Canis lupus familiaris: one gene and its partners. The protein of the gene in region 3 interacts with the protein of the main gene of each other region in a biochemical or structural test. Links are inferred from orthologs where the notes say so. Each region holds a gene or a part of one and is shown on either strand. Other genes may lie near its edges.

Evidence for each region.
Region 1: the proteins of RAD51AP1 (region 3) and DMC1 form a complex in vitro, tested with the Homo sapiens proteins (2 studies listed by BioGRID and IntAct). The link is inferred for Canis lupus familiaris from reciprocal best matches to the Homo sapiens genes RAD51AP1 and DMC1.
Region 2: the proteins of RAD51AP1 (region 3) and RAD51 form a complex in vitro, tested with the Homo sapiens proteins (6 studies listed by BioGRID and IntAct). The link is inferred for Canis lupus familiaris from reciprocal best matches to the Homo sapiens genes RAD51AP1 and RAD51.

The regions. Positions count from the first base shown.
Region 1 is NC_049231.1:27,231,481-27,237,624, reverse strand, and holds part of DMC1 (meiotic recombination protein DMC1/LIM15 homolog), read right to left. Parts: intron 5,685-6,144; coding exon 5,640-5,684; intron 4,716-5,639; coding exon 4,569-4,715; intron 2,422-4,568; coding exon 2,339-2,421; intron 1-2,338. UniProt on the Homo sapiens protein: Participates in meiotic recombination, specifically in homologous strand assimilation, which is required for the resolution of meiotic double-strand breaks.
Region 2 is NC_049251.1:8,125,908-8,132,556, reverse strand, and holds the start of RAD51 (DNA repair protein RAD51 homolog 1), read right to left. Parts: upstream 4,307-6,649; 5' UTR 4,050-4,306; intron 1-4,049.
Region 3 is NC_049248.1:5,763,320-5,769,463, reverse strand, and holds part of RAD51AP1 (RAD51-associated protein 1), read right to left. Parts: intron 3,918-6,144; coding exon 3,808-3,917; intron 2,425-3,807; coding exon 2,338-2,424; intron 1,360-2,337; coding exon 1,210-1,359; intron 1-1,209. UniProt on the Homo sapiens protein: Structure-specific DNA-binding protein involved in DNA repair by promoting RAD51-mediated homologous recombination.

The DNA of each region.
Region 1 (6,144 bases), on a different chromosome or scaffold from region 3:
TGCCTGATAGGCCTGACTGGATTCAGCCAGGGTGTCACTGTGGGCCCTTTATATATTCCATCACTCAAGCCTATTTGCCTAAAAACAACTTCTACACCTAGTTTACACTAGAGATTGTTCTATGCACTTGGAGTAAAGCAGTGAACAAAAGACAAAAATCCTTCACTTTGTGGAGCTTACTACATTCTAGTGAGAGAATAGACAATAAACAATAATAAGTAAATGAGTGAAATATGTGGTATGTCAGATGTTATTAAATGGTATGAATAAAAATTAGATCCAGAAAGAAAATAAGAAATGCAGAGGATGGGCAGCCCCGGTGGCGCAGCAGTTTAGTGCTGCCTGCAGCCCAGGAAGTGATCCTGGAGACCCTGGATCAAGTCCCACGTCAGGCTCCTTCCCTGCATGGAGCCTGCTTCTCCCTCTGCCTGTGTCTCTGCCTCTCATTCTCTCTCTGTGTCCCTATGAATAAATAAAATCTTTAAAAAAAAAAAAAAAGAAATGCAGAGGATGAAGGCAGGGAGTTTAAGTATTTAAATAAAGTGATTAAAGCAGCCTCATTGAGAAGTGGACATTTTAGCAAAAATCTGAAAGAGATGACAGTATGCCATGCACATGTAGAAGGAAAAAGTATTCCAAGCAGAGGAAATGGTAAGTGCAAAGACCCTGAGGATGGAGTGTATCTGGCATGTTCTAGGAATAGCAAAGAAGTTGGTGTGGTTGGTGTATAGCAAACTGAAAAAAGAATAAAAAGATGAGAGTTGATTAAAGAGGATTTTGGCTTTTGCTCTGAGATGAGGAGTCATTAGAGTAGTTTTGGGCAGAGAATGTCATGATTTGACCTAAATTTGTTGATTTTTGTTTTTGTTTTTAAGAGAGAGTGGGGGGCAGAGCGGGAGGGGCAGAGGGAGAGAATCCCAAGCAGACTCCCCACTGAGTATGGAACCCCATGATGCAGGGCTAGATCCCGTGACCCTGAGATCATGACCTGAGCCAAAATCAAGAGTCAGACACTCAATCGACTGAATGACCCAGACGCCTGTGACCTAAGTTTTAAAGGGATCATTCCGGCTACTGTGTGAAGAATAAATAGTAGAGGCAAGATCTGAAAGAGAGAGGCTAGAAGCATTATAATACTCCAGAGGAGATATTAATAGATAGTTTAAACCAGTGAGGTAACAGTGGAGGAGGTGGTAGAGAATTAATTGAATTCCTATTTCTTCTTTTTTCTATACACACACACATAGAAAAAAATATATAAATGTTATAATGGAAAGTTTCAAACATAAACTAAAGTGGACAAAAAACAGTATACTAACGAGCCATCATGTACCTATCACTTAGCTTCAACAATTACCAACTATGAACTCATGGTCAATCTTTTTTCATATAAACCTCTAATTACTTCCCTCCCCTTTCATACTATTTTAAGCAGAGACTGGACAATATATCATTTTATCCTAAATATTTCAGTAGTTATCTCTAAAAAAATGAATACTCTTATTTTAAACATAATCATATTATCATTATTACCTAAAAAAGTAGTAATTCTGGGGTACCTGGGTGGCTCAGATGGTTGAGCATCTATCTGCCTTACGTCAGGCTCATAGCTCAGTGGGGAGTCTGCTTCTCTTCTCTCTGCCTCTTTCTGTTTGTACTCCCTTTCTCTCTCTTAAATGAATAAATAATCTTAAAAAAGGTAAGTGTTCAATCTTCCAATTGTCTCATATACATCTTATTTTTTATAGTGTATTTGAATCAGGATCCAAATAAAATCCATATATTGGGGATTAGGTAAAATGTCTTTTAAATCTCTTTTAATCTCTACGTCTTCTCCCTGACTTCATCTTTTTTGATTCCTTGTAATTTATTTGTTGAAGAAATGAATAGGGTGATTTGTTGTTGAAGGTAGAGCAGACAGAATTTGTTAATGAGTAAGAGCTTCTGATGCTAAAGAGCAAAAAAAAAAAAAAAACCCACTGAATTTATTTCTTCTAAAATATTCAATCTAACAACTGATTTTTAAGTAAAACCAAAAGTGAAATGGAATTTCCTTTATCAACAAGAAGAAAAGGAAATGAAAAGTTAAACTGATTTTCAAGATGGTTTTAAAAATACAGGCTGATTCAGAAAACTACTTATATTTTGGGTCTGAATTTCTTATAAGAAATTTAATCTTGCTTCTACAAATCATCTGGAATTTGTTTGCTTTAGTAGTAGTCTTTTAGGAAAAAAAAAGCTACTTCAGAAAAAGAAGCTATTTCTAACAAACTCAAGAAAAAAGATACAACATTCCAAAGATTGTGTCTAGTGGTTGTAAAAGATACAAGATACACACTCAAATTCCTGGCTCCCAGTGGTGATATGGAAAACCATCTTTCTCTTCTCACTATACTCAAAGGCAGTCAAGAATCCTGGTTCCTACAGAAAGACAAAAGGAAAGGTTCAAAAGGGTATAAGATGATGATGTTAACTTCAAATGCTGCCCAAAACTCTCTACTTGATTATCAGGGTCATCATTTGATATGAGCTACAATTCATTTATTTATCTTTGAAAGCAGCACAAGATCATGGTTAAAAAAACAGGTGCTGGAACTGCCCTATGTAGGTTCAAAATATGTCTCTAATACTTACTAGTTGTGTAATTTAGGGTAAACTACTTAATCTTGCTGTACTCCAACTTATTTTTGGGGTCAAATCAGAATAAGAACAGTGTCTCTCTCATAGGGTAGCTATAAAATTTAAATGAGGTATATTTATTGCACAAAGCAGAATGGTATTTTACTAAATGATTCCATTGACCAGCATCATTTCCCCCTAGCTCTGGAAATTTCAAGGAGCACAGAAATTCACTATTCATGAGACAATATCTGTCAGCAGTAGAAATGCTACTTATTTGCCAAATCAATGAGCTGTAGCGATGCAGTAGTGTAACTAGTGAGAACAGGGCTTGATGTGCTCTAATGATATGGTCTAATGTATTTCTGTTCTTGTTTCATAGGACAGTGGTTCTCAAACTTTGGAGAACTTGACAGGAGGTTTAAAAAGCCCAAACCGGGGTACCTGGGTGGCTCAGTCAGTTGAGTCTCTGACTCGTGATTTCAGTTCAGGTCATGAGATCAAGCCCCATGTAGGGCTGTGTGCTGAGTGTGGAGCCTACTTGGGGTTCTCTCTCTCCCTCGCCCTCTGCCCCTCCCCCACCCTGTAAAATAAGTAAATAAAATGTTTAAACTCACAACTCTTTAAAAAAAAAAAACACCCAGGCCCTATCCTATTTCAACAAGTCTGGGCGTATGTCTTCATTATTAGCCGCTCCAGGTCATTGATACGCACTGTTTGGAACCACTATATTACTAAATTAACTTCCTTTCTCTCTCTGTCTCTCTCTCCCTCACTCCACCCCTTCCCTCCTTCCCTCCCTCCCTCCTTCTATCTCTCAATCTCTTTCTAAGAATAAACAGCTTTAGTTAAGAAAGGATGCAGATTCTGGGTTCACTAGTATATGCTTGAGAAGGAGAGGGATTCTTTTCTTTGATAATGGGATTTAGTTTACAAGGAAAATAAGAGTAATGCTTATGAACTCTAAAGTGGCAGTTTTAAAAACTCTGGGTACTGCTCTAGGGCAGTTGTAGAATTGACCTATGAATATACCGCCTGAGTTTACTCAGAAGTTAGGGCAACTGAGCTGGGTTCAGAAGAGTTCAGTTAGGTTGTCTCCAAGTTCAGGACCACACAGCCACTGTCATCACTGTCACACTTCAACTGCCTCTGAGGAAGGAAACCAAATGGCTGTCCATGAAGAACGCTTCTAGGAGTTGCTGGGAATAAGACCCTCACACACCTGTGTAAATATGGAAAGCCTTGTTCTGCAAAAGGAGAGACTTGGTGACTTTCTTTCCGCACATTCTTGTTATCAGTGCTAGTGCCTCCACTGGCCTCCAAAAATTCAACACAAAAGCTAGGGTCAAAGGCATATGTTTTTGCTTGGAGCCTCTTAGCTGCATGGGCCTCTCATAGTCTGTGGGCCAGCTCCAAGGTGTGAGTTTAGCTCAGCTGCAGTTCATCTGCCTCAGTGAGCATATTCTTGGTCATATCTATCTCGACTGTATACGTGTAGACCACACTGTTAGTCTTATTCTAACCCAACGTTCCCTTACCAATTGACCTATACCATGAGAGTACAACTTCTTTGGTGCTGAGTGCTTTGCAACAACCAAAGATACAATATTTGAGAAGACAAAGCAAAAATAAGGAGTTAAGGCATAGAAACATAAAGAGAGAAAAATTAATATAAAAGGAGATCCAAAAAAAAGGCTTGGTAGAAATGATTATAGTATTCAAGTCTCTTTAACTCTTGTCTCAATCTGTCAAAGATTAATTGCTGTTGCTTTGAAACTGAAGTGATCAAAAGTTAACACGAGGATATAATAGATTGTGATCCATAGAAATTCAGGGTTCCCTCAGTAGTTTCTAGTATTTGTGAGGAGTTTCTGGTGTTCAATGAGAAAGGCTACAGAGACTCCCAGGGCCCTTCTAAGCTAAAACAACAAAGAATTGATCTTGCTTACAATAAGTTTGTTGGCTGCCTCTTTAATCTTGTCCACTTTTGCTTCTGAGAGCCCTTTGACATTGCATAGTGCTCTTCTTGTTGTCATTTGTATCCCTTTGATGGTACAGATTCCTACTGACTTCAGTTTCTTAATGTCAGCCACATTCTGTAAATAAAAGAATGGGTGCAGCAGATTGATAAAATGCCAGCCTGCAAGGCTCCCATACTATGTCATGTGCTTTTGTGTCCATCTCCTTCTACCATGATGCCAATTTTATACAAGCAGCCAGGTGGAACCCACCCACCATGTAGCCAAATGTTCTGGAAATATCTGAGTAGAACATACCCAGCATGCTGCCAAATGTTCTGGCTGTGCCCTGATTTCCCAAGAATGTTAGTGAGACCATGGCAATGTAACAAGGAATTCAAAAGAAAAGTCTGTTGGTAGAAAAGCTAGCAAATTTATCACACATTCGCCCCCTCGGTTCAGCTCTTTCCTTCTAGAGAACTTCATTATGAATATGGTTTTTTTAATTAATTTTTTTTCTTCTACCCTTGGGAAATGCAAATAACTACATTACCAAAGGGCCAGGATTTTCTCTTGCTCCTATTTTCTAAATCCAACTGAAAGAAATTAAATGTGAGGGCTTCAAAAGATAATGTCAGAGTTTTACTATCAATGAACTGCTGTTGAATTCATCTTGTTACTCAAAGTCTGATTTTGGTCAACATCATTTACTCTAATCACCTGCCAAGGAACTGAATTTTCTGTTGAAGACCGTGGTAGGTAGCCCTGAATACCTCCAGTCGGACCAGTGGTTCTCAACCGGGGGCAGTTTTGCCCCCTTGGGTCATATGACAATGTCTAGAGAAATTTTTGGTTGTCATAACTAAAAGGGGTGCTATCAGCATAAAGTGAGTGGTCAGGAGCCAGGGATGCTACTAAATACCTTACAAATGCACCCCCACACACACACACACACAACTAAGAATTGCCCAGTCCCAAATGTCAATAGGGTCAAGGATGAGAAACCCTGAATTGAACAATTTCACACTGAAAACTTACATTGAAAATTGAAAAAATACTTACGATTCCATGTTTTTGTAACAGGTCAATGTCTTGAAACAAAGATTCCTGAAGGGGATGCAACAGAAAATAAAAAGTGGAGCTTTGATTCTTCATTATCCAATTGTATCATATCTTTTAAAGGGTTGATTCAATATTATGAGTTACTCCAAAATGCCTCAAATTCCACTTCTCTAGATAGATCGAGGTAGGATCAATAATGTGTTTTTCAAACACATTATTATATATTTAGAAGATGCACCAGCACTGAAAGGGCTGGGAAGCCCAATATTTTTGTCATGTCCTGTCCAGATTTTTAAGACCTTAACCCAAAGGAGTGGAACAACATTTAACTTATTTTATTTTTTTAAAGATTTATTTATTTATTGGAGAGAGAGAGAGAGAGAGAGAGGCAGGCAGAGGCAGAGGAAGAGGGAGAGAGAAACTCCACCAGACTCTATGTTGAGTCTGGAACCTGATGTGAGACTTGATCTCACTAACCTGAGATCAGATCTAAGCCAAAAACAAG
Region 2 (6,649 bases), on a different chromosome or scaffold from region 3:
CAGTCTCCATGCAGGGAGCCCGACGTGGGACTCGATCCCAGGTCCCCAGGATCACGCCCTGAGCTGCAGGCGATCACGCCCTAAGCTGCAGGCGGCGCTAAACCGCTGAGCCATTGGGGCTGCCCTTTTTTTTTTTTTTTTTCTTTTTTTTAAGATTTTATTCATGAGAGACAGAGAGAGATAGACAGACAGACACAGGCAGAGGGAGAAGCAGGCTCCATGCAGGGAGCCTGACGTGGGAGTTGATCCCGGGGCCTCCAGGATCACACCCTGGGCCAAAGGCAGGTGCTAAAACGCTGAGCCAACTGGGCTGCCCATCTCCCAACTTTTTTAAAGTAAAGTTGATTCACAATGTCACATTAGTTTCAGGTGTCCTAGTTTCAGGCGTACAATATAGTGATTTGACGAGTCTGTATGTTATGCTATGCTCACCATAAGTGTAGCTACCATCTGTCACCAAACAACACTATTACAATATCACTTACTATATTCCCTATGCTCTACCTTTTATTCCTGTGATTTTTTCATTCCATAACTGGTAGCCTGTACCTCTCACTCACTTTCACCCCTCTGCCCATTCTTCCTCCTCCCCTCTGGGAACCATCAGTTTGTTCTCTGTATTTATGGGTCTGTTTCTGCTTTTTGTTTGTTCATTTATTTTTTTTACATTCCACATATAAATAAAATCATATCATATTTTTTTCTCTGTATGACTTATTTCACTTAGTATAGTACCCTCTAGGTTCCCCCATATTGTTGCAAAGGGGAAGATCTCGTGTGTGTGTGTGTGTGTACATATCCTTTATCCATTCATGTGTGGATGGATACTTGGGTTGCTTCCATATCTTGGCTATTATAAATAATGCTGCAATAAACAATGGGTTGCATATATCTCTTCAAGTTAGTGTTTTTTCTTTGGGTAAATACCTAGTAGTGCAATTACTGGATCACATGGTATTTCCATTTTTAATTTTTTGAGGAATCTCAATACTGTTTTCCACAGCAGCTGCACAAATGTAAATTAGTGCACCAACAGTTCATGAGGGTTCCTTTTTTTCCACATCCTTACCAGTCAGGCTCCCCTATTTCTTATCTTTTTAATTTTAGCCATTCTGGTAGATGGGACATAATATCTCATTGCGGTTTTGGTTTGTATTTCCCTGATGATTAATGATGTTGAGCACCTTTTCATGTGTCTGTTTGCAATTAATTTGTGTCTTCTTTGGAAATGACCATTTGTTCTTAATTAGTTCAGATGCAGATCTCTTAGATGGCAAATTTAGCATAATGTATATCTCTGATAATGTTAAATACTGGAATCACCTGAATGCAGTTTAAATTTAAACATCTTGGGATGCCTAGGTGGCTCAGCAGTTGAGCGTCTGCCTTCGGCTCAGGGCATGATCCTAGAGTCCCAAGTCCCACAATGGGCTTCTGGCATGGAGACTGCTTCTCCCTCTGCCTATGTCTCTGCCTCTCTCTGTGTCTTTCATGAATAAAATCTTTTTTTTTTAAGATTTTTTTTTTTTTTTTAATGAGAGAATGAGAGAGAGAGAGAAGCAGAGACACAGGCAGAGGGAGAAGCAGGCTCCATGCAAGCAGCCCGACGTGGGACTCGATCCAGGGTCTACAGGATCAAGCCCTGGGCTGAAGGTGGCACTAAACCGCTGAGCCACCAGGGCTGCCCAGAATAAATAAAATCTTAAAAAAAAAAAAAAATTTAAACACCTCCCTTCATAATTTATGAAGAAGATGGAATTACAGAGAATGGAAAAAGGATTTTTTTTTTCAATAAAAAGTGCTAGGTTGATGGGAGAGCCTTACAGAATAAGAAAAAGAACAAAAACAAAATAAAACACTGCACATACAGAAGAAACATCTGTTTCCAATTCGATTACAGATCTAAATATAAGAGGTAAAACAAAGCTTTTGGAATATAGGTGAATGTTTTCATGACTTTGGGATAAAACTTTCTTAAAGCAACAACGAAAAAAAAGACTGAAAAATCGGACATTTAAACTTAAAACTTCTATCCATCAAAAGACACTATTAAGAAAATGAAGTCAAACTACAGGTGGGAGACAAAATATTTACCATATATACAACTAAGGGCTGATAATTAAAATATATAAAGAACTTCAAATCAGCAAGAAAGGCAACCCAATAGGGACACTTGGATGGCTCAGCGGTTGAGCATCTGCCTTTGGCTCAGGGTGTGATCCCGCAGTCCCAGGATCGAGTCCCACATCGGACTCCCTGCATGGAGCCTGCTTCTGCTTCTCCCTCTCCCTCTCTCTCATGAATGAATAAATAAAATCTTAAAAAAAGGAAAGGAAAGGAGAGGAAAGGAGAGAGGGAAGGAGAGAGGGAAGGAAAGAGGGAAGGAAAGAGGGAAGGGAAGGGAGAAAGGCAACTCAATAGAAAAACAGACAAGAGATTGGAACAAGTACTTCAGGATAGAAGATGTCCAAATGGGCCAAAAACGATGAACCAATGCTCAACCTGACTAATTATCAGGAAAATCAAAATTAAAACCACGAAGTATTACTATATGCCACCAAAACAGATAAAATTTTAAAAGATTGACAATATCAAGTGTTGGCAAGCATGTGAAAAAACTAAACACTCATACACTGCTGGTGTAAATGTAAATTGGTAGCAGAAAACTGGCAGTAGGGATGCCTGGGTGGCTCAGCGGTTTAGCACCTGTCTTTGGCCCAGGGCATGGATGCGGAGTGTCGGGATCCAATGCCACACCGGGCTTCCTGCATGGAGCCTGCTTCTCCCTCTGCCTGTGTCTCTGCCCTTCACTCTCTTTCATGAATAAATAAATAAAATCTTTAAAAAAAGAAAACTGGCATTAAATGTGGAAGTTGAATATAGACAAATGCTATGACCCAGGAATTTCAACGCTGTATTACTAACCAACTGAAAACCATACACGTTTGTACCAAAACATACGCAGGAATGTTCTCTGCAGATTTTCTCATTTAAAAACTCAGAAACTAGAAACAACCCAAATGTCCACCATGGGCATGGGCAGAATGAATAAGGAATTCAATACAGAAACTAAAAAGAACTATTACTATATGCAAAAATAAGTACGAATCTACAGACAGAATGTTGAGCAAAACCAAACACAAAAATATACATAATATGGGGAAACTGGGTGGCTCAGCGGTTGAGCATCTGCTGTCGCTCAGGTCATGATCCCGAGCTTCTGGGATCGAGTCTCGCAGCAGGCTCCCTGAAGAGCCTGCTTCTCCCTCTGCGTCTCTCATAAATAAATGAATAAACAAAACCTTTTAAAGATAGATAATATCAGTTACACAAAACTCAAACACAGGCAAATTTAGTCTTTGGTGTCAGAAGTCAATACAGAGGTTACCTTTGGAGAGAACAGGGGATGTTGGGGTGCTGACAACGTTCTATTTATTGACCTGAGTAATGACTGCACAGGTATATTCTTTTTGAAATCAGAGGCGTATACTATACACTTCTGATTTGTATATTCTTCCATACGCATATTACACTTCACTTTAGCAGTCAAAAGAAACCACTTCACTACAGATCATTCCCCAGGCATCATCACACGAACGGCCTGAATTAGCTAATGAAAACGCCTTTTAGGAAATTGGAAGCTGGTACTCCGTAAGCAAAGCAGGGTGTAATGGAAAGAGGATTAACCAGAAATCCGGAAACCCTGGCCCCGACAGAAACAGCTGTGACGTTAAATCACAACACCTCTCTGGATCTCGGCTTTCCCGCCGCCCCCACCCCCCCACCCCCAAACCGGGTGTTGAAAATGAAGGCCTCTGAGGTTCCTTCTAGCTCTGGAGCCTGGGGACCACTTCAGTTTTTGCCACAACGAGCCCCGACGGTGGGTTGGGCCCGGGCATGACCCTGCTCCGCCCCGCCAACTCCGGTTTCTCACTTGGCGCAGAGGGGCCCATAAGCCGGCTGCCGGCGGCACGGGCTCCGCCCGGTTCGGCTACTGCGGGGACGCACCGGGAGGCAGGAGGGGCCGAGTCTACGCCTCACACGCTCACCTCGGTCCACAGCGCTCCTCACTGCCGGGCTGCGCGCTCCGACTTCTGTCCGCGGGTCCGGTCCGCGCACGACTCTGGACGGGCTCTGGACTCCCTCCCTTGCTGCCAAATTTTCTACTCCCTTTTTGCCGCCTTCCGCACACAACCCAAGCGAGCTTCAGCTCCCAACGACGCCCCTAAGGGCGCGTCAGTCTCCTCAGGCTGGGTCTCAAACCGCAGAGCTCCCTCCGGGGAGTGTTTGGAGATCCCGCCAAATTCTCCGGCTGGGTCACGCCAGCGTCAACGTAACGTCTCCCCGCCCCCTCGGCCCGGAGGTCTAGCCCGCTCTGCGGCTGCTCGCGAACCCTAGTTGGGTCCAAGGAACTTGGTCTTGCCTCATGTGAGGCATTTGCCTCTTCCCTTTACCCCTAAAAACTAATTCACAATTTGGGAGTCGCCGCTTCCTTCTCTTTTACCAGACCAAGGACTACAACTCCCAAGAGGTAGTGGGGTGGGTCGGAGACTCCATCTCCCAGCAGGCACAGGGTCGCACACCACTTTAGCGCCTCACCCCTGCTGGGGGAAGGTCTGGCTCTAGAGAGCTGCTCTCGATTTGCCTCTTTAGTTTCTAAACCTGGACGTTTAGTCTGAGCTTCCGATTTCGTCAAATTCCCGGAGCCTGGGGTTTTCCTTCCAGGCCCCTGGAGGTGGTAGAGCTGAGATGGAACTGGAAACAGCTAACGAAGGGGAGAAAAATGGCTGAAATATTAGTCAAGTCTTGGTACTTGAGATTTGGAAGACTCCCGAGGGCAGGAGACACTGATTTTGAGAAAGTAAACCTTGTTTACTGGGAAGTTGGACCTGTGTGTGACTCCGGTTTTAAAGCGTTAATGGGGTTTCCTGGGCAAAGAAACGGAGATGGGAGACTTAGAGCACTATGGGTATGGAAATAACGTGGTCAAGCGATAGAATTGTCTGATGAAGGAGGAAAAGTGTCCTAGAGACGCTGATACTGGAAAATTAACATTTCATTCAGGTTATGAAGAAGCTTAAGGCCATGTGTGGAGCTTCAGTCTTTATTCTTTAAGTAATGAGGAAATCATTAAAAATCTTATTTTTTTTTAAAGATTTTGTTTATTCATGAGAGACACCCATAGAGGCAGAGGGAGAAGCAGAGGAAGAAGCAGGCTCCCTGGGGAGCCCAATGTGGGACTCATCCCAGACCCTCAGATCATGAACGGAGCCAAAGGCAGGGGCTCCACGCTGAGCCACTGAGGCACTCCTCATTGAAAGTTTTTGAGGGGATCCCTGGGTGGCGCAGCGGTTTGGCGCCTGCCTTTGGCCCAGGTGCGCGATCCTGGAGACCTGGGATCGAATCCCACATCGGGCTCCCGGTGTATGGAGCCTGCTTCTCCCTCTGTCTATGTCTCTGCCCCTCTCTCTCTCTCACTGTGTGCTTATCATAAATAAAATTAAAAAAAAAGTTTTTGAGCAGAGGAGTTCTATGGTTTGATCAATCTTTCCCCTACTACTACTTTATTTAGATCTATTTTTCCCCCACTACTACTGTATATTTGTGGAGTGCTTTAAAGTTCATAAAGCTTGTTTGGTTTTTTTTTTAATTTATTTATGATAGTCACAGAGAGAGGCAGAGACACAGGCAGAGGGAGAAGCAGGCTCCATGCACCGGGAGCCCGACGTGGGATTTGATCCTGGGTCTCCAGTATCGCGCCCTAGGCCAAAGGCAGGCGCCAAACCGCTGCGCCACCTAGGGATCCCTAGCATAGCATTCTTAATCTCAAAGATGCTTGTAGTCTATTTGGCAAAACAATGTGCAGGTGATATAAGTTCAATAACACAGCAACACTTGATTAACAGTGGGTTGTGCGTGTGGAGAGGTGGGCTCCCTGCAGGGAGTCTATGCAGAACTTGATCCCAGAACCCCAGGATCATAACCTGTGCTAAAGGCAGATGCTCAACCACTGAGCCACCCAGATGCCCTAAATCTGATATTTTCCAAATTTTTCCAATTTCTTAGGAGCCCAGTAGTACTTACTGTTCTTGAGATCTATGAGATACTCCTACATTCCTTTTTTTTTTTTTTTAATTTATTTATGATAGTCACAGAGAGAGAGAGAGGCAGAGAGGCAGAGAGGCAGAGACATAGGCAGAGGGAGAAACAGGCTCCATGCACTGGGAGCCCGATGTGGGATTCGATCCCGGGTCTCCAGGATCGCGCCCTGGGCCAAAGGCAGGCGTCAAACCGCTGCGCCACCCAGGGATCCCCTACTCCTACATTCCAATAAGTCTCCCTTCCATTTCTTCTGCTTAACCAGTTTGAGTAGTTTTCTGTTCCTCACTTCCAAGACAACCCACTAAACACTTGGAAATAAGATAAGCTAGAGTTCTTACTAACAGTTAAAAATATATAACAGTTAAATTAGCAAGCCGTGTGATTATTTACAAATGTGTAATTGAGGGGCATCTAGGTGGCTCAGGTGGTTAGGTGTCTGCCTTTCCCTTGAGTCATGATCCTGGGGTCCTGGGATCCAGCCCAGTGCAGAGCTTCCTGCTAAGCAGAGAATCTAATTCTCCTTCTGCCTCTCCCCCTACCCCTCCCT
Region 3 (6,144 bases):
ATTAATTTCATTGGCATAATAAGTAGGACTGCAATTTATAGCTTTAAAATTGTTTACAGGATTTTTCTGACAAGCATGCATCAGATAGCAATAAGGAAATCATAGCAGAAATGCTCTGATCATCATCCATGAAAAAACAAACTGACAAGGGGTTATTTTTATTATTTTGGGCTTTTTTGGATTAAGGACCCTTAAGTTGGGAAGCAACTCGGTTCATGCTCTACTATACTACGTCAGGGCTTTTTCTTTCACTGGCTTCTACCTTCTAGTGCTCCACTTATGTCAGAGTTTCTCCAGATAGGAAGATCTCGACCTGCTTTGGCACGATGTGGGTCATATCAAAGGGCAGGTATTGGTTCAAAAGGCAGATTTCTGGGCTCTACCCCGCATTTCTCTTTTTCATAGCTCTTCTATGATGACACTGGACACATTCTACATTTCATTATTGTCTGTCCCTTCACTTGAATTTAAGCTCCTTAAGGGAGCCCTGGTTTCTGTGTCGTTGTTGTTCACTGCTGTATTTCTAGCGTCTAGAATATAATGCACACAACAGATACTCAAATATTTACAGAATGGTGGCGAACAAATCCATCTGTCAACAGCATGTTAAAATCTATCAAGCTATATATCTGATTTGGCACAAACTTATGAATTTATTCATTTTAAGTTTTAATTAATATATTATGATGCTCTGTCAAGGTCACTATGCTTCCCATGTGCCCTAACTTCTGAATAAGTCTGAAAACATGTCACAATAAAATACAGGTTTCCTATCACTTCAACCCCAAAATATGTCATGAATTTCTACTACCTACAAAAAAAAAGTGTACACTGCTCAGAATGGGTCTGAGACCCTCCTTGATCTTGTGCCAGCCTGCCTCTTTCACCTCTTCTATAACATTCTCTCCTGTGGGCTCAGTGACCTCTTATATATGTGCTTGTCTATTCCACTGTTTATACCTTTCTGTCAGTCAGGAATGCAATTTTACCCTGCTATTTTGCCTAAATGCTATTCATTTTTCAAGGCACGGCCTAAAGGTTACCTCTACATAAAGCCTTTTCCCCAAAGGCAGAGCTGAATTTAACTGTCCTGCGTGTTCCTCAAGTTTGCATACACCAAACAGCACAGTGCTTCACATACATTAATGGTCTCTAAGGACTTTTTACTGAATTTCCATAGGTTTAATTTTGAAGTAGGACAGAACTCACCAGTTGCAAAGTCTGGTTCAGAGTCATTAGCACTATCGCCATCACTGCCTTCCAGAAGAATCTTCCTCTGTTGTACCACAGCTTTTGATGCTGCTTTTCTTTTCCCTTCAACACCATGAAAATCATCTTCCTCAGTGATCTTGTCCAAATCTTCAGGGGAGGCATAAAAACCAATGGAAAACTTTTTGTGACAGGTAATACTTAAAGAACTGCAGAGCAGGCTTCTATCACATCTGTTGTTTTTATTTGCCCTGCCTCATCCCTCCGTGGCTTCTGAGAGACCACACAGTCCAATGTGGGTCAATCATAATACCTCAGTCTCCTGACAAGACAGCCCAACTGAGGATTCTTGCCCCAAGAAATTGTAAAACTGGAGCTGGGAAGATGAAGCCCCTTTTTTTCAGTGGTCAACAGCTATTGACTAGAAGCCATGGTAGTCATGACCCTCCCCCTGGAAAGAAGAAAACAGGTCTGCAGTAAAAAGGAAGAAAGCTAAAACACAAAGAAACAAAGGAGAAGAGGTGAAGGGAACCTTAACAAATTTAAGTATCTTGGTTCTAGCTAGCGTCAGGTTTTTTTTTTTTTTTAATTTTAATTCAATTAGCCAACATATAGTACATCATTAGTTTCAGAGGTAGAATTCAGTGATTCATCAGTTGTATATAACACCCAGTGCTCATCACATTCTGTGCCCTCCATAATGCCCATCACCCAGTTACCCCATCCCTCAACCACCTCCCCTTCAGCAACCCTCAGTTTGTTTCCTAGAGCTCAGAGTCTCTCATGGTTTATCTTCCTCTCTGATTTCTTCCCATTCAATTTTCTCCCCCTTTCCCAATGAGTCTCTGCAGGGTCAGGTATTTAAATAAAAGTTAGGAAAACAGCACTGTCAATAGAAAAAGTAAATTTCTTTTAAAGATTTGATTTATTTATTCATGAGAGATACAGAGAGAGAAAGAGAGGCACAGGCATAGGCAGAGGGAGAAGCAGGCTCTCTGCAGGGAGCCTGATGTGGGACTTGATCCCAGGACCCTGGGATCACACCCTGAGCCGAAGGCAGATGCTCAACCACTGAGCTACCCAGGCATCCCAGAAAAAGTAAGTATTATTACTAATATCAAAACTTACCTAAATAATCACTGGCTACACTGCAATTAGAGATATGGGGAGCCTTATTCATTGTCCCAGTTTCGCTGCTGCCACATTTCCCAGTGCCTAAAGACAAGGAAGAGGACAAAAAGTACAGATGCATCTTAATCAGCCAATGAGCAGAAATAGGAAAATTGGTGCTCAAATGTAAAGGCATCCAGATACAGATAAATGATGCAGACTTATAACACAATGATTTACCTTGGAAAGGATATGGTTAAGAGTTTGGGCTCTGAAATCAGACTGAGACTTCAGTTGAAACATTGGCTATATGACCACTGGAAAGTTACTTATCCCCTCTAAGACTTAATGTCCTCATCGATAATACAGAAATAATAAATAGTGTGTGGATTAATTGGGATTATTGTGGGGGATTAAATGTCAACCACATGTAGGAATTGCTTATTGCCCAGCACACAGGAAACAGTCAATAAATATTAACTGTCATTTCTGTGTAGGCAGATACACACTCTTACTAACAAAGCCTCTTCAATCATTATAATAACCTTAAAATGATCTAAAGTATTTCAAGAGGACTTTTAGTCACAATAATTGGTACTATTAAATCCCATTACTATAAAGTACATTAATCTATGAAAAGTGATATTTCCAAGGAAATTCTGCTATGTATTTTACCATCCTTTACAAGAGAAAGATGGATTTCATTTCCTCAATTTTTAGATATAAAACAATTGTTTTTATGTTTCCTTGATTTCCTGATTACTAAATGACTCCCTAATCAAGAGTGTCTCATTCATTTCCAAAAAGAAGGCAATACTGACTTAAACATCTATACCCCTAAATAAGCTAATGAGCTAAAAATTATCCTCCATCATAAGTTAAGTCCTTTTGAAACTGTTTTGTTTCATCAAAAAGGTATTTTAAGTTTCAGTATCTTTTCCAGGAATAATGATTTCTGCCTCTGCCATCTGCTGCACAGGTGGCAGACAAATCAAAGGAGAAAAACCCAGAGAAGTCCAGAAGTCACACATCTCTTACTTCCACTGAGCTTGCTAACCAAACTAGAATCGTTAACTTTTATAAATAATAAAAATTACCATCAATAGGTCATGTTTAACTGATTTGAATTTTGAGAGAAAATAGTTGGATTGTTATGATTGTATTGATTGTATTGAATTGTATTGAATTGTATTGATTGTATTGAATTGATCTCAATTCATTTGATCAAGAGATTAAATCCCCACTATACACAAAAATCCAAGCTCATAGTCCATGACCACAAGTTTAAGTGTTAAGCAGAGATGTGTGTGTGTATGAGATTTATGCAGCAGAATAAGCAACTGAATCTAATTGTGTCCCTCTGCAAAGTATTCCATTTGTTATCCAAAGTTTTAAAATTTTATTCTTTTCCTCTGTAAAGGCTCACCCAGAGAAATGATTATGAAAACAATAAGGACATAAAGATAAATATATGGAAAATAAAATTACTTTTATCTTGAGCCTCTTCCACATCAATGGTGACTGTCGGAAGTTCCTTCACTGATAAAGCTAGTGCGACTTCTAAGTCTCGCTGGTAGAGCTTGTCATCTAAAGCCATCCTGAGGTGAACACACAAATAAAAATGAGTTTTTAAAAATGCCAATCTCGACCAAATAGCAAAATCTGTGATTTTCCTGAATTACTATTTAAGAGCTGCTAACCTCACAAAAATGCTTTTAAATTGTAATCATGATCATAATTGACTTTAATGACAACACTGCTAAATATGTAGTAATGTCATGTTGCATTTAGCATAAGAGATTTACAAGAGGAGCAGCAAGTGCCATTGTAAAAAACTGTTCCCTTTCTGTGTAATGCCAATCCTCACTACCGATTCCAAGCACCTGCTCAACCTATTATAAAAGCTTGGCTGAAAAATCCACTTAGGAATCTTCCCCGACCTCACTTATACCTCCTTAGACAAGTATTATAGCTCTTCTACTAAACTGGTTTTTAACAAATCTGTTCCTCCTCATCTTGACTTTAACAAATTTGTCACCAGGTACTTACTGTGTATGCGCCACAACACTGGATAGAATACTAAAAGTACCCTCAAGGTGTCTGCAATTAATGAGGAATGTAGGGAAATAAGACACACTAATAATTATCCTACACATGTAGATTATTATGTTTCATATTGCAGTGGTCAAAAGCACTATGGTACTTGAGAAGAGAAATCAAATATTAAAAAGAAAAAGGTTACATAAAGGATAAAATATTGAGATGCATCTTTCAAGATTTATTATTTTTTAAAAAACAAAAGTTCTATTGAGATATAATTCATATAGTATAAAACTCACCCTTTTAAAGTGTACAATTCAGCAGTCTTTAGTATATTTAGAGTTGAGAAATCGTCACTGCTATCTAACCTCAGAGTATTTTCATCACCCCAAAAAGAAACCCTATATCCATTAGCAGTCACGCCCTGCTTCCCCCTTCCAACACCTGGAAACCACTAATCTACTTTCTATGGACTCACCTATTCTAGACATTTCATATTAGTGGAATCATACACATGGCCTTTTATATTTGGCTGCTTTTGCTCAGCATGTTTTCAAGGTTCATCCATTTTGTAGCATATATCATCAGTACTTCTTTTCATTGCTGAATAATATTCCAGTGTATAGACAGACATTTTATTTATTCCTATTCACCAGTGGATGGATATTTAGGATGCTTCCATTTTTTGGCTATTATGAATAATGCTGTGAACCTTCATGTCCAAGTTTTTCTGTGGGTATATGTTTTCATTTCTCCTGGGTATATAATAGGCTGGGTCATGAATAATTCAGTGTTTAACATTTTGAGAACTGCTAACTCTGCTTTTCAATGTGGCTGCACCATTTTACATTCCCAGCAACAATGTATGAGAGTTCCAATTTCTCCATTTCCTCTTTAACACTAGTTATTGTCTGTCTTTTAGATTATGGCCATCCCAGTGGGTGTGAAGTACCATTTTACCATGATTTTGATTTGTACTTCCCTGATGGCTAAGGATGACAAGCATTTTTTATGTGCTTATTAGCCATTTGTAGATCTTCTTTGGAGAAATGTCTACTCAAATCCTTTGCCCATTTTGTAAATTGGGTTATTAGTCTTTTTATTGTTGAGCTGTAAGAGTTCTTTATATATTCTGAATACAAATCCCTCATCAATTATATGATTGGCAAATATTCTCTCCCATCTGTAGGTTATTTTTTTCACTGTGTTTGAAATGTAGAATAAGAAGCTCAAAAACAAAAATGAAAATAAGAGAAAAAGGTAAAGAGCAGAACACAGGGTAAATCACTCTAGGTTAATGAACTTTTCTAATACCCGCAGCATATCATATCATGCTGAACCATATCACGCCCCATGTTCCATTTGTTAATACTCCCCATCTGCCCATCTCCTCTCCATTATACAGGTTTGGGGCCACTTGGGACTTCCTTCCCTCATTCCTCTCTTCTCTCTTGGTACTAACTAATGGAAATCCAGGATATGTCTACAAACTATAGGAACTACTCAGTGCTGGACAAGTCTCAACAATATAAAGAGGAAGTATCTTTTATCTGCATAAAAATTCATGGGTTTTAATTTTTATAAAACTATCCTTAGAAATGTGATTTTTAAAAAGTGGTCTTATAAGATTTGAGGACTTCAAGACAGGTACAGATTCCTATAAAATTAAGCTGTAACTCCTAAACTTTGTAATTACGATTGTCTTAATACTGAAATGATTATTTCCTTACATGTTTATGGATTTTTTTAAGGCAGGAAGTCAGAAGGGGATTAATAATGGTACAT